3 linked regions of the Arabidopsis thaliana genome follow. The protein of the gene in region 1 interacts with the protein of each later gene in a pairwise test. Each region holds a gene or a part of one and is shown on either strand. Other genes may lie near its edges. The genes, in order: YAB2, RVE1 and NDL1.

Evidence for each region.
Region 2: the proteins of YAB2 (region 1) and RVE1 interact in a two-hybrid assay, tested with the Arabidopsis thaliana proteins (one large-scale study listed by BioGRID).
Region 3: the proteins of YAB2 (region 1) and NDL1 interact in a two-hybrid assay, tested with the Arabidopsis thaliana proteins (one large-scale study listed by BioGRID).

What each region holds. Positions count from the first base shown.
Region 1 is NC_003070.9:2,674,081-2,680,909, forward strand, and holds YAB2 (Plant-specific transcription factor YABBY family protein), read left to right. Parts: upstream 1-1,732; 5' UTR 1,733-1,952; coding exon 1,953-2,021; intron 2,022-4,022; coding exon 4,023-4,154; intron 4,155-4,239; coding exon 4,240-4,360; intron 4,361-4,473; coding exon 4,474-4,522; intron 4,523-4,598; coding exon 4,599-4,674; intron 4,675-5,194; coding exon 5,195-5,302; 3' UTR 5,303-5,744; downstream 5,745-6,829. Other genes in the region: HDA08 (histone deacetylase 8), read left to right, coding at 87-389. UniProt on the Arabidopsis thaliana protein: Involved in the abaxial cell fate determination during embryogenesis and organogenesis.
Region 2 is NC_003076.8:5,689,726-5,695,247, reverse strand, and holds RVE1 (Homeodomain-like superfamily protein), read left to right. Parts: upstream 1-2,255; 5' UTR 2,256-2,323; coding exon of another isoform or gene 2,324-2,548; 5' UTR 2,549-2,812; coding exon 2,813-2,845; intron 2,846-3,257; coding exon 3,258-3,356; intron 3,357-3,437; coding exon 3,438-3,549; exon of another isoform or gene 3,550-3,616; coding exon of another isoform or gene 3,617-3,635; coding exon 3,636-3,697; intron 3,698-3,859; coding exon 3,860-4,174; intron 4,175-4,270; coding exon 4,271-4,813; 3' UTR 4,814-5,022; downstream 5,023-5,522. Other genes in the region: AT5G17305 (uncharacterized protein), read right to left, coding at 2,324-2,548; autophagy protein Apg5 family, read left to right, coding at 5,427-5,522. UniProt on the Arabidopsis thaliana protein: Morning-phased transcription factor integrating the circadian clock and auxin pathways. Binds to the evening element (EE) of promoters. Does not act within the central clock, but regulates free auxin levels in a time-of-day specific manner.
Region 3 is NC_003076.8:22,955,578-22,961,795, reverse strand, and holds NDL1 (N-MYC downregulated-like 1), read right to left. Parts: upstream 4,168-6,218; 5' UTR 3,811-4,167; coding exon 3,751-3,810; intron 3,288-3,750; exon of another isoform or gene 2,990-3,287; coding exon of another isoform or gene 2,987-2,989; intron 2,906-2,986; coding exon 2,806-2,905; intron 2,732-2,805; coding exon 2,634-2,731; intron 2,544-2,633; coding exon 2,455-2,543; intron 2,371-2,454; coding exon 2,310-2,370; intron 2,219-2,309; coding exon 2,054-2,218; intron 1,962-2,053; coding exon 1,905-1,961; intron 1,808-1,904; coding exon 1,752-1,807; intron 1,641-1,751; coding exon 1,505-1,640; intron 1,409-1,504; coding exon 1,190-1,408; 3' UTR 880-1,189; downstream 1-879. Other genes in the region: SERAT1;1 (serine acetyltransferase 1;1), read left to right, coding at 1-298. UniProt on the Arabidopsis thaliana protein: Interacts with the heterotrimeric G protein beta subunit GB1 and plays an significant role in GB1-dependent regulation of lateral root formation. Involved in a signaling pathway that modulates root auxin transport and auxin gradients.

The sequences.
Region 1 (6,829 bases):
TGCTAGGGATGCTGATTGTCTAGTTTGTGAGGGGATTTGAATGTCATGGACTGACGGATAACCACTATTTACTGTCGGATCTGCAGTTTGATCCAAACGGGAGACAAAGCCTGACAATGAATGGATACAGAAGGATTGGGCAGATAATGAGGGGAGTTGCAGAGGAGCACAGCCATGGAAGGTTGCTTATGGTGCAAGAAGGCGGGTATCATGTAACATATGCAGCTTACTGCCTCCACGCCATGCTCGAAGGGGTGCTGAAGATTCCAGAACCGCATCTATCTGATCCGATCGCTTATTATCCCGAAGAAGAAGCTAATGCTGTTGCTGCTGTGGAGTCAATCAAAACATATCACACCGAATTTGTTCCATTTCTCAGAGGAACTTGAAAATGGGACGTATGAATGAGTTTATGTTATTCCTCGTTGTCTTGTGACCTTTTGGAACACAGATCCAAATCAATCAGGTCAAACCGTATATATCAAAATACTTGTTGATCAAACTATCTTTTGTATGAAAACTTATTCACACGATCCGACTTTGTTTTTTGAGTTTTTTTTTAACAACTAGTTAGGTTTAGACTAGAAGAACCCAAATTTTTTGTGACAGAATAATAATTTTGCAGAAAGAGATTTTATAAATATATTCCAGATACAATCAAATCAAGCTTGGAAATAAGATTGGCATTGTCGTGAGTATCACTGTAGAGAGAATAGCTCGCGGGTCCGTAAAAAATGCATGTCAACCTCGATCGTGGAAATATGTCAGGATAAGATCTGTATTCTCGTCTCTATGATTTGTTCGAAAGAAACTTGTTTATATGAATCATTTTGTAAGAAATGTTTGTTGCATTGATTCCAAATACTTTAGATGTGTTCAATTAGTTTATTCGCTTTATTTTTTATTTTATTTTTGGTAAAAGGTTAATAAAGACAAAATAGGAAATTGCATTGCAAATACAAATACAAATACAAAACAATGAAACATCTATATTATGAAATAAATTATTAAAAATTAAACCAGTAATAAATGTCGTTTTGTTGATCCACACTCAATCTAAAATGTACATCTATGTTCACTTGCAGAATGAATGGGATTTTAATGAACTTTAAAAACTCAATTTCAAGTAATTACACCAATCCAATGAACATGTTTAAGTTTGCAGAAAATGCCAAAATGAATTCATCTTTCGTTTTATACTGTTAATCACTTATTCACAAAATAGACCATCATTGTCACTTGCAATATGTTTTATTTGATTCTGAAGAGGATTATGTATCGTTTTCAATTGTCCCTGAATTCACAAACTGTATCGTTTTACTAAATTTACTGTTGCTGCTAACAAAGTCCATGTATCGTTTTCAGATATGTGTTTGAAAAAACAAAATTTAATCGAACTGTTAATCTCATTTCTTATCTGCTAGACAAATACAATACACATTCTCATGATCTAGTACTATTCATTGTAAAATGACTGTAACAATAAGATTATATATTGAGCTACTAGCCTACTACTTATCCTATAAAAATGTAATTGAAATTAACTTATTTGGTGATAGGACTATATATCTTAACTAAAGATGAAAAAACAATAAAAATAACAAAGGGAAATCTTCACTTTATTATGGAGTAATAGAACTCTCTAATTATCTAAGGAAAAAAAAATGCAAGTACCGAAAAATAAAAAAGAGGAACATTGTAGTATAGTCCCCACTTGTCTCTCTTCGTCTCCAAATAAACCACATTAGTCTTTTCAGATTTTTTGTACACTTCCTTCATCCCCCACCCATCTCTCTCTCTCTCTCTCATCCTTCCTCTTTCTTCTTTGCTTGCCCTTTTCTTTTTATTTTATTCTTCCAAAATCAAATAGTTCCTTCTTTGATCTCATTGGGATAACTAAAAGTTTCAAGAAGAGAAACATATCATTGAAGAGAGAACCCACACAAAAAAAAATGTCTGTAGATTTCTCATCTGAGCGTGTTTGCTATGTCCACTGCAGCTTCTGCACCACGATTTTAGCGGTAATCTCCCTCTCCTCTTTATATTGTAAATCTTTCTCAAAAGAAAGAGTGTTAATTTGGTACTTACTCTGAGCTAGATCCCCTTTTCTCTAACTTAAATCAAACTGTTATATAAGATATATATTATTTACCTATCAAAGATGGTTGGTGATATATCTATATGTGTATTGCATGATGAATTTTGCATCTAGTTCATAGATCAACATATATCTTTTCTGTGATTAATTATTGATGAAGATATATATACCGGAAAGTTTCTTAAATTTCAGAAACCCTAAATCTTATTCCTTTTTTTTCTTCTATAACGCGTGATGAGATACCTAAAAGAAGCAAAAGAAGTTCGGTAGTTGAAACATAAATTTTAGTGCTCAAACAAAGTAAACTCAAAGGAAACAGCTCCTGATCAGATTTAGGGCTCTATGAGTAGGTTTTAAGTCTACAAAGATAACTTCTTCTTTCCCTATTTTTACTATTTAAAGAATTTTTATTTTTATTTTCGTTTTAAGGACATTTTTTCTTCTTCTCTTTACAAGTAAATCCTTCATTTTTTACTCTTGTATATTCATATTTTCTTTGGTGTTAGTTCCCTAAGTTTCAACAGCCATTAATATTTTCTGTAAAAGGAATTTGGTAGATAGCATCCATGTGATGCAGTCTCAAAATTAAACTTTCACTAGGGTCTTCCACCTTTATAGTCTGACTTCATACTATCTAATCTTTTGATATGTATAACTGTAGTATGTGACACATGTATTATACTTATATCATATCAATCATAGATCTTTCATCTACAAGCGTGGTCCATGTAAAAATGTTTACATCACATCACCAGCTGATTATTTTAAAATCATTTTTTGGGTTCTCCAAAATTCTCTTTTTATGTTTCTCACAGTGTGCTGAAGCTATTTTATTACATGTATATGATTTTAAAATTTACTTAAAACTTCACTAATTATCTCCAGCTTTATCTAACGGTTTTATGTGACATTTAATAATATCCACAGTTCTTCCGTACATTTTTGATATGTGTGTATCAGTGATATACGTCTATCTATATGTGTGTGTATATAAATTATTGATCTATGATCCATATAATTAAGTAATCATGAGAAACTAACTAGCTAGGTTATGTAGCTTAATGGTTTAGCGTTTAGACAAATTAAAAAAAAAAAAGTTTATCATGAGAAACTCTTGTACACTGATATTATTCATAAACGTTATACTACATATACATAAATAATGGAGATGTCGCACGAGTCTGATTAGGAACAAAAAGGGCCATATTTAATAAAAATGTTAGAGGTCTTCTTGCACAAAATAGGGTGTGTATTGTAGTGGAAAGTACAAAAGATTTGTTCTACCCAGTTCCAGCAACAATTTCTTGATCTATACAAAAGCTGCAAACTGTTAAATCATGGCCGATCTTGACCACTTAGGATTGGATCCTTTCTCTCTCTCTCTCTCTCTCGCTCACACACAAAAATATAAGACGATTATAATAAAAAGATGGTACCATCACATATGAAGGACTTTATGGGCTGTTGTTAAGGTCACGTCGTTTTCTAACATGACTGTCTTCTCCTTACAAGCTTCATCAACCATTCTTCATCTCTTTACTATCTTTTATCATGTTGCCTTGAGGTCTTGTGTGTCAGACATAGAATTCATCAGAACCCACCAAACAGAAAAATACATATTCTTTTATATATGTTAAATTTGATCATTTGTTTGTTCGAATATTAGTTGTGGTAATACTTCTATAAGGTTACTATTTTCTATTTCATGTGATAAAAATCTATAGGACTATCTTTACATAGGAAATAGGAAATCTACAATTAACCAAAAACAAGGTGTGCTATAGCCTATAATGGAGTAGTACTTAACATTCTCTCTCAAGAGCTCTCGTTACATTAGAGACCAGCCACTCGAATTATAAAATAGTGATAAAACAAGACAATTAACGTGTCCCTTATAATGATCAAGACATGTATGAATGATTAGGTAAGTGTACCATACGCAAGTTTGTTCACACTTGTGACGGTGAGATGTGGCCATTGTACCAATTTGCTATCCCTCAACATTGGAGTTTCACTTCATCAAACCTCAGCTCCTCCCATTCACCAAGATCTTCAGGTATCATATTATATTCATTAGTCCTTCAACATTTTTATTATTCCCATTTAGAAATCTGGCTTATATAGTTTTTGAAATCATGAAGCCTCATAGACAGCACACAACCTCTCTGGTGACAAGGAAAGATTGTGCATCGTCTTCTAGGAGCACCAACAATTTATCGGAAAACATTGATCGTGAGGCTCCTAGAATGCCTCCTATTCGCCGTATGTCTCTCTATTTACCTCTTGCATTCCGTACATAGTATTTAAAGTTTGTGTAATATATGCAATCACCAAGCTAAGTGAGTCCATAATTTTCTTTTATTTTCATGTGGCAGCACCGGAGAAAAGACAACGTGTTCCTTCGGCCTACAACAGATTCATCAAGTAAGTGTTAATCCTTTGATGAAATATACTAATTAACTCTTTCGCTACAACTTTAATAAACTAAATTGTTAATTAGGGAGGAAATCCAAAGGATTAAGGCTTGCAATCCAGAGATTAGCCACCGTGAGGCATTTAGCACTGCTGCTAAAAATGTAAGCTTCCTTCTTTACCATTCTTTTTCACAAGGTAGATTGTTGCTAAGATAGCTCAAAAAAAAAAAAAATCCTTATCGTAGCTTCATCGACGATGTCAGAATTATATAGAATTAGGAAGAAGATGCAAAAAAAAATGAAAAAAAAAAATAACTAAAGTTATAAAGTCTTTTAATACTGTATTTTTAGATTCAATAACTCTGTAAAATGTATTTCTTAACTATTTAAAAAATAAAATAAATTATTATCTTTTTAAATAACCTAACAAGTAAATAAATAAAAAATGATATACGAACACATGATTGGATAGTAGTTTTTTTTGTTTGCAATAATTAGTACCAACTAATTGAAATAACTGTGGTGGGAGAATTCTAGGGCTTGGTCACTCTCTTTGAAAATATAAGTGTGTATGTATACCAATAAGATAGTGGTTCTACTATTTATAATTGGTGGAATGTTTATATATCACAGTATTAGATGTTTTTTAAAAATAAATTTGCCTTTCAATTTTTGGGTGTAGTGGGCACATTTTCCTCACATTCACTTTGGATTAAAGCTGGATGGCAACAAGAAAGGCAAGCAATTAGACCAGTCAGTTGCAGGCCAAAAGTCTAATGGCTATTACTAAAGCCTTTATATATATACACACATATATACACTTATACGTATATATATGTGTATAGATATATATGCGTGTGTATGATTTATGTTTATCTTTGTACGTACGCATTAATGAATGTGTAAGCAGAGAGCTGATGATGGAAAGAGATCAGGCGAGGAAGAAGAAGATCATATAACGTTACATATATATACATGTATGTATATATGTTCCTTTCTTTTTTCTTGCGTGTGCTTCATCTATAACTTCATTTCTAGTTTTATTCTCCTAATAAGTGAAGTCTATAAATTTGAACCTAAAATGTTTAGGAAGAATCTTCTTTCTGAAGATTGTAATATAAATTTCAACTTTACTCATTCTGAAAAGGTGTGGTCACGACTTTATATATATAATCCCTAGTTTTATGGTAATTATTGTTGATAATACCTGAGGTTAAAGGGGGATGTATGTGGAAATTGATTGATTCTTTATCAATTTCATGGATATATAGAGTTTGTGTATACATAGAAGCACATGTATATACATAGAGTGAGTAGTAAAAGATATATAAATTCCATCTTGGGATATAAAATGGTAACTTTTATGGTGCTGAGATAATTCTGAAACTCACTCATTCCAAAGAAACATTCTTTGCAAAAAGCAAAGGCTTCCAATGAATAGTTCACTTGGGTTGTTTTTAATACTTTTTTTTTAATCAATGAGAAATCAATGCTCGTGTCTTCTCTTGTCAGCCACAAAACTCATAATCCGGTTGAGTATCATGATTAATAATATGTCACACTTTTATGCTGCTGATCGGCTCACTATTTCAAAGAAAATCATAAGCAGCGTGAAACGGGACGGTCTAGTTTTGGTCGATACCGTTTTACATCAATGATGCGAATTTGACAAAAATATAATTTTTTCTCGACGGTAGGCACATTTTTATGGGGGAAAAATGGTACATAATGAGCTATTATTTGTCTATGATATATAACTACCAGTTCGGTCGTGTATTAATTTGCAGTGATCGTTATCAAGATTCGAATCGAAACCATGGGTTGTTTTAATAACATGGGCGATTTGACTTTGTCAACGCATACTCGTTTTGTGAAACTTTTGTAGTATGTGGTCTACATAAACCATGCATTCTCTTAAAAGATAAAATATTATCGTATATGAACTCTTTTAAGTGACTACTGAATATTATAAGAAAAACGTTGTCTCTTTTGATTAAATGTAATGCAGAATAGCAATTATAAAAGTAATGCTATAGATATTTTGTTGTATAGCTGTGGTCAACTTTTGCTAAAAGAATGCCACTTTGGAAAAAATGACTCAAGCATTTAGACCAAATAGCAATCACTATAGTTTTCACGTCAACATCAAATTTCTATTCAGTATTACGTACTAATTATAACTTCATTTTCTATTTGTCCAAAATGGACACTAACTCCGCAGCTGGTGGCTATGTTTAATGATAAGCATCTCGTAGAGATCGTATATCCACCACTCCCGACGAAGGGTTAGAGAAGTGGGGTCGTCTCCAATGTGTGA
Region 2 (5,522 bases), on another chromosome or scaffold:
CCTGAATTGTTATCTGTTATTTTATCTTTTTCACGTCTTACGCCTCCTAAATCCTAATCGCTTAAATATTTTTTGAACATGTTCTCATCTGTTTTTAAAAAATTTGGATTTTCTTTTCACTAATGATTGTTACATTAGATAAATGTGATTTCCACTACAGGTTTGGATTTTATTGCATTAGAAAATATGGTAATAACAAATATTTTTATAAGAGATGACAAAAACAAATACTCTAAGTAGACAACAGCCACACACCAACCACTTTCTGATATTTGAAACCCTAAGTAAAGAACGAGAAGGAATTCTTGTGGCTGAGAAATTTTGTTGTATTATCAGTGAACGTGAATAAAATGAATAAGAAACAAATAAAAAGAAAACTAGTGGCTAGAACCCTCCTTCTCGTCATTCCACATGTCAAGTTTCTGTAGAACAGACGGCTAAAATAAGAATCAGTGACATGGAGAAAAGTGCACTGACATTCACTAATTATTAGTATTAGTACTATATTATAAATTAAAGTGTAATTACTTTCACTTCCACCGAGGATGACTTTTACAATTTGAGGAGTATATTAAATTATGTGCTTAACAATGATTTCAATAAAATATCTACACATTTGTGAAAATTGATGACGACCTGGACGATGGATAATCATATTAATTCGAGAAAGTTGAAACTAATTATAAATATCATAGATAGATTCGTATCTGTATATATTATATTATATGGTATGTATACGTAGACTTACGTTATGGATAGACCCCCACCATGTTTTTATATAGAGGCAGAAGATATTTAACTTATGGTTTTCGTTTTTTCGTAAAATATGAAACAAAGACAACGACAAAACGAAAAAGAACCAAAAATAGTATCTCATTCTACTTTCACTTGATTTTGGAATTTCATTTATTTAGATTGTGATTCAAAACCATTTCAACTATGTAAAATTCTGTGCAATATTTTTCCCAACTAAACATATAAGTTTGACATGAAAAAGAATATAGGAAAATTTAGAGGTCCAAATTTTATATGTATATCGGAATCATGGTAGGATACGTTATCAATTGCATTTGTATGAGGCTTGCTATTGCTAGTATAGAAGCATCATCAACAAATCTTAATATCAGTCCAAATTTGAATAACCCATTTTGTGGATCTCATTTCATAAAATAAACCATTTTAGTGTCCTGCAAAAATGTGTTTAGACAGAAATCTTTTTTAAAATCTGAATTTAGATATTATGATGGTTATAATTTATATATAAATTTACTATCAAATATTGTGTTCATATATGGAAGAATGGAGAAAAAAGAGTAGAACCCCACAAAATAAAAAATGGATAGACTATGTTTTCTAAGATTGGACAAAGTGTATAATAAAATCTTCTGATCTGGTCCAAAAATAAAATGTTAAGAGTTTTCGAATTCGAATAATTTGATTTTGATTAAGATATCCACTTCGGATATGTTTTCATATGTAGCTTTTTAAAATACCCTAATAAATATTTTCATAAAGAGTTTATGTAAATAAATCAAAATATATTTTTAACTTTTTATTTATTATAGTTTTATATATTACTGTTTTAATTATTTTGAAGTATTTTTGATAGATATGGATTTGGATGGTTCCGCAAACAAATCCTATGGATCCGGATCCAAAGAACCAATCATAAATTTTGGAATATGTCCACCCATATATGGATCAATAGAGATATAGTTAAGAAAAGAAAATGAATTTATCCCGCAAATTTACATTTTTATCTCATGTAGTGGAACCAATGAAAAGCGAGTAAGCTAAGAAGTCATACTCTCGAGAGTACGCCTTTCCATATTTTCCTTTAAAAGTATCTTCTGGTGGCTCACATTTCTCCGTCCAGCAAAATCTTTTTTGTTACATAAATATTATATTTCCTGATATTTTATATTAAAAGATTATCCAATTGAAATGATGTCAAAAAAGGAAAGGAAAAGTAGGGGAATTAAATAAATACATACAGTGATAATCGAAGTACCAAATCTAACTGTTTTAAAACAAGTAGATTCATTTTAAAAAATTAAATATTTGATTTTTCAAAGAGATAAATGAATAAATCTAGTACAAATTTTGTTGCAAAAAAAGAAGATGAAGAATATGAGAAAGAGCGACACGTGGCAAAGATGGACATTGAACGTGAGCCACAAGATTTTCCATCTGTTTCTCGAGCGTTCCATGGAAAACCAATAAGAATTATTATTTTTATTTTTTAAAAATTGGGAAAAAGCGCACATAGCAGAAGCTGACGTGGCATCACCCTCCTTTTTGTCTTCCCTATTTTCTCACCCCCCTAATTCCCTTCTTCCTCCTTCACAGACCCCAAACTCTTCTCTTCTTCTTCTTTCTCTCTGTTTTCTTCTTCTTCCGCCGAATCAGAAAGCTTGTCTTTTTCTTTACTCCGGCTACCAAAACTTCTCGGAGTTTCTCTGAGAGTTTCATTTCCGACCTTCTTCTTATCCTTATTTGCGGCAAGATTTCCAGCGAGAGTTTTTTTCTCTTTTCCTTTATCGAACATAAGAAATCTCTGGTTTGCTGGAAGTTTTTTTTCCGGAAGGTGGAAGCTTAGATTGGTTCTGATTTCAGAAGCAAATCGTTTGTTGTTGCCTAAGTAAACCGAATCAATTTATGGGATCTATAGAAACAGACGGAGAACAGAGGAAATTAAGCTGATTTTTTCAAGTCTAGATTCGCGAATTTATCTTGGTGTTTCCTTTTCTGTGTTCCACACCTTTCGAGTTTTTTTTTGTTTTCCTCCGCCGAGATCTTAATCCGGGAAGTTATGGCGTCGTCTCCGTTGACTGCAAATGTTCAGGTCTGGTCTCAAAATTTGATTTTTATCCACTTTTTTTGTTTTGTTTCTGCTTTATTCAGGTCTGGTCTCAAATGAATCTATGAGTTTAAAATACTGTATACGGACATTTAAGTAATAAAGCTTAGAGTTAAAGCAAGTTCGTTGCAATTCATTTGCAGACTCTTGTTTCTTTTGAGCTATAAGTTCTCTCTAGATTTGTGTGTTGCAACTACATTCATTTGAATCCTTGAGATGGAATCGACTGTGTTGGAATTTTGTGATTAGGATATGTAAATCGAGTTTAATTAGTTGGACTTTGTGAATGAATGTTCATTGAGAAACTGAAGAAGAAAGTAAATAATCCAATGCCACTTTGTGTCATAGTCCTTAAAATGATGTTTCCTAAAGTCGTTTTGCTTGATGATGGCTTTAGGGTACCAACGCTTCTTTGAGGAATAGAGATGAAGAAACTGCAGACAAGCAGATACAATTCAATGACCAAAGTTTTGGGGGAAATGACTATGCACCCAAGGTTTGTTTCTTTTAACATCAAATGTCAAATATTGTTATGTAAAGTGAAGATCTGTGGCTCAGTTCATCTTTTCTTACTTAGGTACGGAAGCCATACACGATAACAAAAGAGAGAGAGAGATGGACAGATGAAGAGCACAAGAAGTTTGTTGAAGCCTTGAAATTATACGGGCGAGCTTGGAGACGAATAGAAGGTAAATTAATGATTTAGTAATATCTCTTGCTACTGAGTTATGGCCTTACCTGGACCCTCAAAAATATATGTTTGTTTCACTAACAGAACATGTGGGCTCAAAGACCGCAGTTCAGATTCGAAGCCATGCTCAGAAGTTTTTCTCTAAGGTTTATACACTTATTTGCTATTATATCTTTACCCTTGTTCAAAGAAAGTATCAGTCTAATCTCTGTAGCAAACCTAAGTTCTGCATAAATAAGGAATCATTATACATACATTGTTTGGAGACTTGTGTTCTGACTTGGCTTTGTTCTGTTGTATTCACACAGGTTGCTCGAGAAGCAACTGGAGGTGATGGGAGCTCAGTAGAGCCGATTGTAATACCTCCTCCTCGTCCCAAGAGAAAGCCAGCGCATCCGTACCCTCGTAAGTTTGGGAACGAGGCAGATCAAACAAGTAGATCGGTTTCTCCCTCAGAACGTGATACTCAATCTCCAACCTCTGTGTTGTCCACTGTTGGATCAGAAGCATTGTGTTCCCTTGATTCGAGTTCACCCAATCGAAGCTTGTCCCCAGTTTCTTCTGCATCACCACCAGCTGCTCTTACAACCACTGCAAATGCACCTGAAGAGCTTGAGACTCTGGTACTTGACATAAACAAAACCGAATTTATACTTAACAGCAATACCTGCTGTTAGATGCTTAATGCTTAATATTCTTGGTTTAATCAATTTGTACAGAAGCTGGAGTTGTTTCCTAGTGAGAGACTCTTAAACAGGGAGAGCTCGATCAAGGAACCAACGAAGCAAAGTCTTAAACTCTTTGGGAAGACAGTTTTGGTATCTGATTCAGGCATGTCCTCTTCTCTAACAACTTCAACATATTGTAAATCCCCAATTCAGCCATTACCACGGAAACTCTCATCATCCAAGACACTACCCATAATAAGAAACTCACAAGAAGAACTCTTGAGCTGCTGGATACAAGTCCCTCTTAAGCAAGAAGATGTGGAAAATAGATGTTTGGATTCAGGAAAGGCTGTCCAAAACGAAGGATCATCGACTGGATCAAACACTGGTTCGGTGGATGATACGGGACACACGGAAAAGACCACAGAACCCGAAACAATGCTATGTCAATGGGAGTTTAAACCAAGTGAGAGGTCTGCATTTTCTGAGCTCAGAAGAACAAACTCCGAGTCAAATTCAAGAGGATTTGGTCCATACAAGAAGAGAAAGATGGTAACAGAAGAAGAAGAGCATGAGATTCATCTCCACTTATAACACATTTTCTTACGTACCCTAAAGAAGAGACTTTAAATTTACTATTCATTCGACTTTCTAAGTTTTCATCAATGTAATTTTTGTTGTTGTTTCATTGTTTTCTCTTGAGGTGTTTGTTCTCTAGGCTAAAATTTTCTGCAAAAGTTTGTAACTGTAAAACTCGTGTACAATTTATACAGTTAAATCTAATGATTATGAGATCTTTCTTAATTGATGGTTCAACAAAAGCAAGTTTCAGGTGTCTCTCTTCAATATCTCCGATTAAATTAGGTTTGGTAAAGAGTTTGCTTTGAAATGAAGGCAAAGAAGAAAAACAGTGAGGTTACCACCAACTGAACAAGTGTGTGTTCAAAGTTCAAACCCAACAAATAACCGAACCGATTCGGAAACCAACTCTAACCTGAAATTTTGATAGAATTTGACCAGACCAAATTAGACCGGTTAACACCCTTTCACGTTAGCCACCAACAGATTAAGCAGTGTCTAACGTACGCCTTATTAATACCACATAAAGACGCAAGAGAAGATGACGTCATACAGAAACAGCGTCGTTTTGAAAGCTGAGTTTTTTTTGTGAAGCGAGCGAGCGTGAGAAGGTGTGACGGGGAAGAGAATGGCGAAGGAAGCGGTCAAGTATGTATGGGAAGGAGCAATTCCTCTGCAGATTCATCTCCACAAATCCGACGTCGCTTCTCACCCTGCTCCTCCT
Region 3 (6,218 bases), on another chromosome or scaffold:
CCATGTGACACTAGGTGGAACAGGTAAAGCTTGTGGAGATAGACATCCGAAGATCGGTGACGGTTGTTTGATTGGAGCTGGAGCGACTATTCTTGGAAATGTGAAGATTGGTGCAGGTGCTAAAGTAGGAGCTGGTTCTGTTGTGCTGATTGACGTGCCTTGTCGAGGTACTGCGGTTGGGAATCCGGCGAGACTTGTCGGAGGGAAAGAGAAGCCAACGATTCATGATGAGGAATGTCCTGGAGAATCGATGGATCATACTTCATTCATCTCGGAATGGTCAGATTACATCATATAAAGTTGTTGTTATAATTGTTTCTGTGGTTTTGAAAGTGAAAAACTTTCTGACCATTCGCTTATAGAGAGGTGCTGAGGTAAGTGAGCTTTGTTGTATTTGTAATTTACAAAACATCTTACGATGTTCAATACAAGAAATGGCCTTAATTTGATGTTATTATTCAATCATTAGTTATCCAAGAGTTTATACACTTCTTCTACTTTGTATTCGGGTTTGGCTCGGATTTACACTTGTCTGCATCCATTTTACGGGCTTGACAAACATCGAGGAGCATTGAACTTGTTCAGACTAAGTGAAGCATTCTTCGCCTTTACCCCGGTTCATGAGGGACTATGTTTTCGTCAACCGCAACTAATCCTTATGCGTATCTTATATCAGTATATAACTTACGGCTTCTGCAAAGAAGGATTGGTCTCCATTTCCATTTACAATTCAATTCAGACTAAAAAGTTTCAATCTGATGATCCAAATAGTTCAGGATCAAGACTGTTAAACCATTAAATATCAATATTAAGCAAAAACCAGATTCTAACTTGGTGAAATCAATGTGCTTGTAAGGCCAATTAGAGAACCAAAAACAAAATGCAAAATGAATTTTATTACTTGCTTCTGCAGAGTTCGTCACAAAACAATTGTTACAATGTCACAAGAACAGAACATTTTACATATGTATAAAAAAATGAAATAATAAACAACATTTTGTGGCATCTTAACAAGAGAACTGTCGTGTCGGCTGACTACAAAAGAATGTGTTATATGATGGTGGCTTGAATTTTTCTTCTTCGTCTTCTTCTTCTCAAATCTCCCTAGTATTGTTCTATATCTACAAAAGCCCTAAGATTTCTTCTCCTCAGCAAAATTAGAACCAATGAATCAGTAGTGCACACACACTTAAGCCGCCGAAATTCTGGTTTTGATAGGCTTAAGCTTTAATCCCATGCTTTCAGGAGAGAGAAGCTCAGGTGAAATACAAGAAGGGCTAAGTGGACTTCTAGGGCTCTCGGAGAAAAGAGATGGTCTGTATAATCCGTAACCCATCAAGAAATATTCCATTGGGATCAACATTGCATGTGGTTGCTCCTCTGTTACCATTGAACCACAAGCCTGAACCTGATAATATTTCCAAGAAAACATCTATTAGTAGCAAGAAAACCAAACATGTGTTTATATGTAAAGTACAAAGGATGAGGATTCGTTTTCTCAAACCTCAACCAAAGCACAGTATCCTCTATCCAAAGTTGCTGCCATGTGAACAGCTTCTGAGTAGAAAGGAGATTGATCTCCGATGAAGATAAGTGTCCTGCATTTTAGTTTCTTCAATCCACTTGAGATGTCAGGTCTCCTGCAAGAGCAAAGGTTTGGTTTGCATAAAGTTAAAGAAAAGTCAATATTTGACACCATGAATGAATGAATGCTTCTAAGGTAAAGGATTTCGAGGTGTTTGTTGTGTTACCGGTCAATGGCGTCAAGAAATCGCAAAACGTTTATGCCTTGTCTTTCATCAAGCAGCTGAGACAATCACCAAAAGTGCAAGGTGTGAATCACTGATACAGTAAAATCAATCTATTGATGAAACAGAAAAACAACAGAAGAGATAAACACTGACTCTTCTGCAAGCTTGTGCTATATCTGACTCTGGAATCTCAACGTTACCACGGACTTCCTGTAGCAAGCAGTTGCAACCGGTTTAAATAAGAGAAGTCTGGAAATGCAACAAGTGCAGAGAGAGAGCAATGGTAACTGCAGTGAACACACCTTACTAAAATATCTCTGAAGCAAAAATTCCTTTACCACTCCACACATTCCGTAATAATATAACAAGTTTGTGATAACCTTGTTGTAAAACCATTCAGACCAAGACGGCGCCTTGCATAACGGTGAGACAAGAATCAAACCAAGAACCCGTTCTCTATGTTTCATCTGAAAAGTTTTAAAACATAGAAGAGATGATAAACACAGTATTCTTCTGAAGCAATGGGCAATGAGAAGAGAAAAATAAATAGGAACATACCGCGAATAAGGTGAGGATATAAGCACCTGCAGTCACTCCCATACACATCACAACACCAAGGCTGAACAAAAAGCTTATACATTGTTACCCGAAAAACAAAAGTTGAGAACTTCAATAAGCCAAAAATAAGGGATTCCATCGTTACCCGAAAAAGTTGAGAACTTCAAGGATCTGATCTGCCAAGTTTTCAGCAGAAGGGACTGAATCATTAGGACAAATTGGAGCAGCTCCTAACTGCAAGAAAACAGAGAAGTCATGTGAGTAAGTAATCACGTCAAGCAAAGCATACGGCAAGTTAAAAAAAGAGAAACTAAAATATTGGACCTCATGCCCAGGTGGACTGATATGGTAAATGCAGAAGTTATGAAGCAGCAATGAAGCTGCTTCAGGACAGAAGAATAACCCTTGGAAGCATGACATATCTGAAGAAGAAACAACAAAAACATTAATAAATTTAGCCATTACATTAGTGCCTATAGAGATTCTTTAGCCTTACGGTTTAGGGCTAAATCAGGATAAGTAATCAATGCTGGCTTTTCTCTGTCTCCATAGACAATGACAGACACAACACCACTAGCAGTTTTAACACGATGCTCCTGAACACAAGAAACCAACAAGTTATAACAAAAGTAACGGATCATGAAACCAACAGAAAAAAACTAAACTTTTAACCATACCATTTGTCTACTCCATATTCATAAAACATGTGTTTGTAAACAATGAATCTATTTTCTCGTTAGTAAATGTATACTAAAGATAGGAATATGACAACTGACTTTAGGTGGAAAAGAAATGCTTTGATTAACACACACACAAAAAAGAAAACATCTCTGTTAAAGCTTTTCCATGTGCAGCTTTACTACTTTTAAGGGCAAAAAAACAAAACCAAAAACTTGATCATCAACAACCAAAGAGAAATGGCCTAATTCTAATCATTGTGGTTTTTTTTTAATAAAAAGGGAATGACAGTTTAAAAAAGATGAGCTAATATGAGTCTTAATGAGATAATAAAGAAGCATTAGTCTTATTAAACAAAAGGTTAATGGTAGACAAAAACAGCTGGCATTTTCTTTTCTTTTTTCTATAAGATAAAAAAATCAAAAGGCAATAAGACAAAGAATAAGGAATACAAAATAATAATAAGAAGAAGATATCTTTGAATAGAGAGAAGAAGAAGATCCCAAGAATAATCCCATCTGGAAATGAATCATAATAATAAAAGAAGTTTCACAAATCCACAAGCAAAGAATTTCTCCAAGAACATTTGATTCAAACAAAAGATGAGTCTTTTTTTTACAAAAACAAATGAATCTAACAATGCCCACATGTCTGTTCTTCCCCAAATCAACAGAAAGATTAGATTTAAGCAAGTTTAAGATAAACCCAGAAACAAAAATCAAAGCTTTATTCGGATCCGAGTTCAAAGGTTAAAGAATGAAACCTTGCCACCAAGATAGATTGTTCCAACGTCGACGGAGACGGCGCCGTAAGAGTCCGTCATTGGCAACAAAAGCTCTTCCGCTTAGCCGTCACCGTCGCCGTCGTTGTTTTAAGAACGCCGGGATAACAAGAGCTTCTTCTCTTTTCTTCTTCTTCTTCTCCCAACCTCTAGATTGTTTTTTGGCTTTTCTTTAGCTTATATACAAAGCGATGCCTTTTCTCTCTCCTCTCTCTTAAGACCTCTCTGGAAAAAGAAACGTTTTTTTTTCGTTTTCCTTTTTTTCTTCTCTTTCGTTTTACTCTCTCTATAAATTTTGCGGTGATTTCTCCATAGACGCCGGTAGTCGTAACATGACACGCGAACGGTCAAAAAACTTAAAATAAGAAACATTTTTAATTTGATTTATTTATAGAAACTTATTTTTGATAAATATTATTAACCAGCTCGAATTTCACCAATAACAGTCGAATACTAATTCGGAAAAATTGCTGTAAATAAATTGGATAATTGTATAAATGTAAACAAATATTAAATGTTGATAATTGGATAAGTAAGGGAGGTGCGAAGTTTTGGTTAACAACAAAATTAACATTAAGCAAACCGAATATAAATTTTTAGAGACTGTTTAGTTTTATTATTAAAAAAAAAAAGAGAAACCAAATTTTCTAAAAATACTATTACATATAAAAAATTATTTTTATGTAATAATATTAAGAACATCAATATTTAATAAACAATTGTATATTTATACTATTCGCAATTTTTTCACTTTGAGTTGGAAAAAATATATCTTAGTAGAAAATTAGAAATGGACTAATCTTAAACCATCAGATAGGCTTTCAAACATATTCCTATCATAAGAAACATGATGAGTAACACCACTATCTATGATCCATGTATTTTGTGATAACACTTGTCTAGAGGACGTTAGAGAACATAGTAACCATAAAGTCGAAGGTGAGAAAGAGATATCATTGAAAGCAAAACTTTGAAGTGACCAAATCTGCTGAGTTAGCTGATAAGACCTTGGCAAATTCGTAATGTGAAATCTAGTATCCAAGTCTTTCCAGATCTCTGCAGCATCATTGAAACGAAGTATACTCTTATAGATCTGCTTTGTAACAGAATTAAGGATCCTAGATTTAACCATACTGTTGCATCGTGACCACACTCTAAAGCTAGGATCAGATTCAGGAGGTCTTGGTAAAGTTCCATCAACAAAAGCAATCTTATTCTTAACGTTCAAAGAAACAAACATCGCAATCTTCCAAGAAGAGAAATTAGATCCATCAAGTACCTCAGAAACAAGTGTATTCCCAGGACTCACCATTTGAGAGCGCGAATGGCGAATAATGAGCATCCGAGAAGTCGAACTGTGGTAAAGGATAGATCGATGGTTTTGAATTGAAATTTTGTTGAAACGGATTCGAAATTGGTGGAATCGGTGGAATCGGTGAAGCTTGAACACGATCTGGAGTTTTCTCAGCTGAAGTTTTGCTCGATCTTCTAGTACGACGCCGCAATTTCTCTACGGAAACCATCGCAAGATCAACGAAGCTCTAAACAACTGAAATTTTCCAGAAAACGTAGAAAATTGAAGAAACAAAGAATCAACGAGTTTGGAAGATCCAAGAGCTCGAAGATACTCAGAGTTTAGGTTGAATCGGATGAATCTTCGAGATCCATCACTCTGATACCATAATAGTTGATGAACGAATTCAGAGAAATGAAGAAGATGAGAAAAATTTGTTATTCTTCTTAATTGTTCTGTTACATGAAACACTCTTTATATGTAGAGTGTTCCGGTTTAGTAACCGGTTTACATTGTACCAAACAACAATACAATAACCGAATTTATGGTTAATATCTTAAGTTAGACCTATTTCAAAACAAGCCTAATTTTCACAATAGTCAATTTTTTGTTGTTGAATATTTGGCCGAGAACTAGACTTCAATAATGGGGAAGAATAACTAAAATCGGTTCTTTCTCCTCTCCCAAAGTCAACTAGATTCACCAAGAATAACTAACTTTGGTTAATGATTACATGTTCTTAAAGTTATGGATCTTTTGGGAAAAATGGACTATTTGGCAAAAAGAGTGGCAAAAAGAGTGTGAACATAAAAAATACAAATGGGGCGTTCCGAGAATCGAACTCGGGACCTCTCGCACCCAAAGCGAGAATCATACCACTAGACCAAACGCCCTCATTTGATATTTCGTTAATTAGATAAATAATACCTAATAATACAAACTTGAATTGGTCTTGCATTTGGGCCGTTAACAGGCCTTGCTAAGTCATATGTGGTGTGTATTTCTCCATCTGCTATTGATCTCAGTAAAAATTACATAAAGAGAGCCACAAGCTTACTGACTCTCTTGTGTATCGCTCTCTCCGCATTTCCATTAACCCTCCAATTTTCCCGCCTTTGTCTCACTCTCTTCCCGCCTTGCACTCGCCGGGGACTCC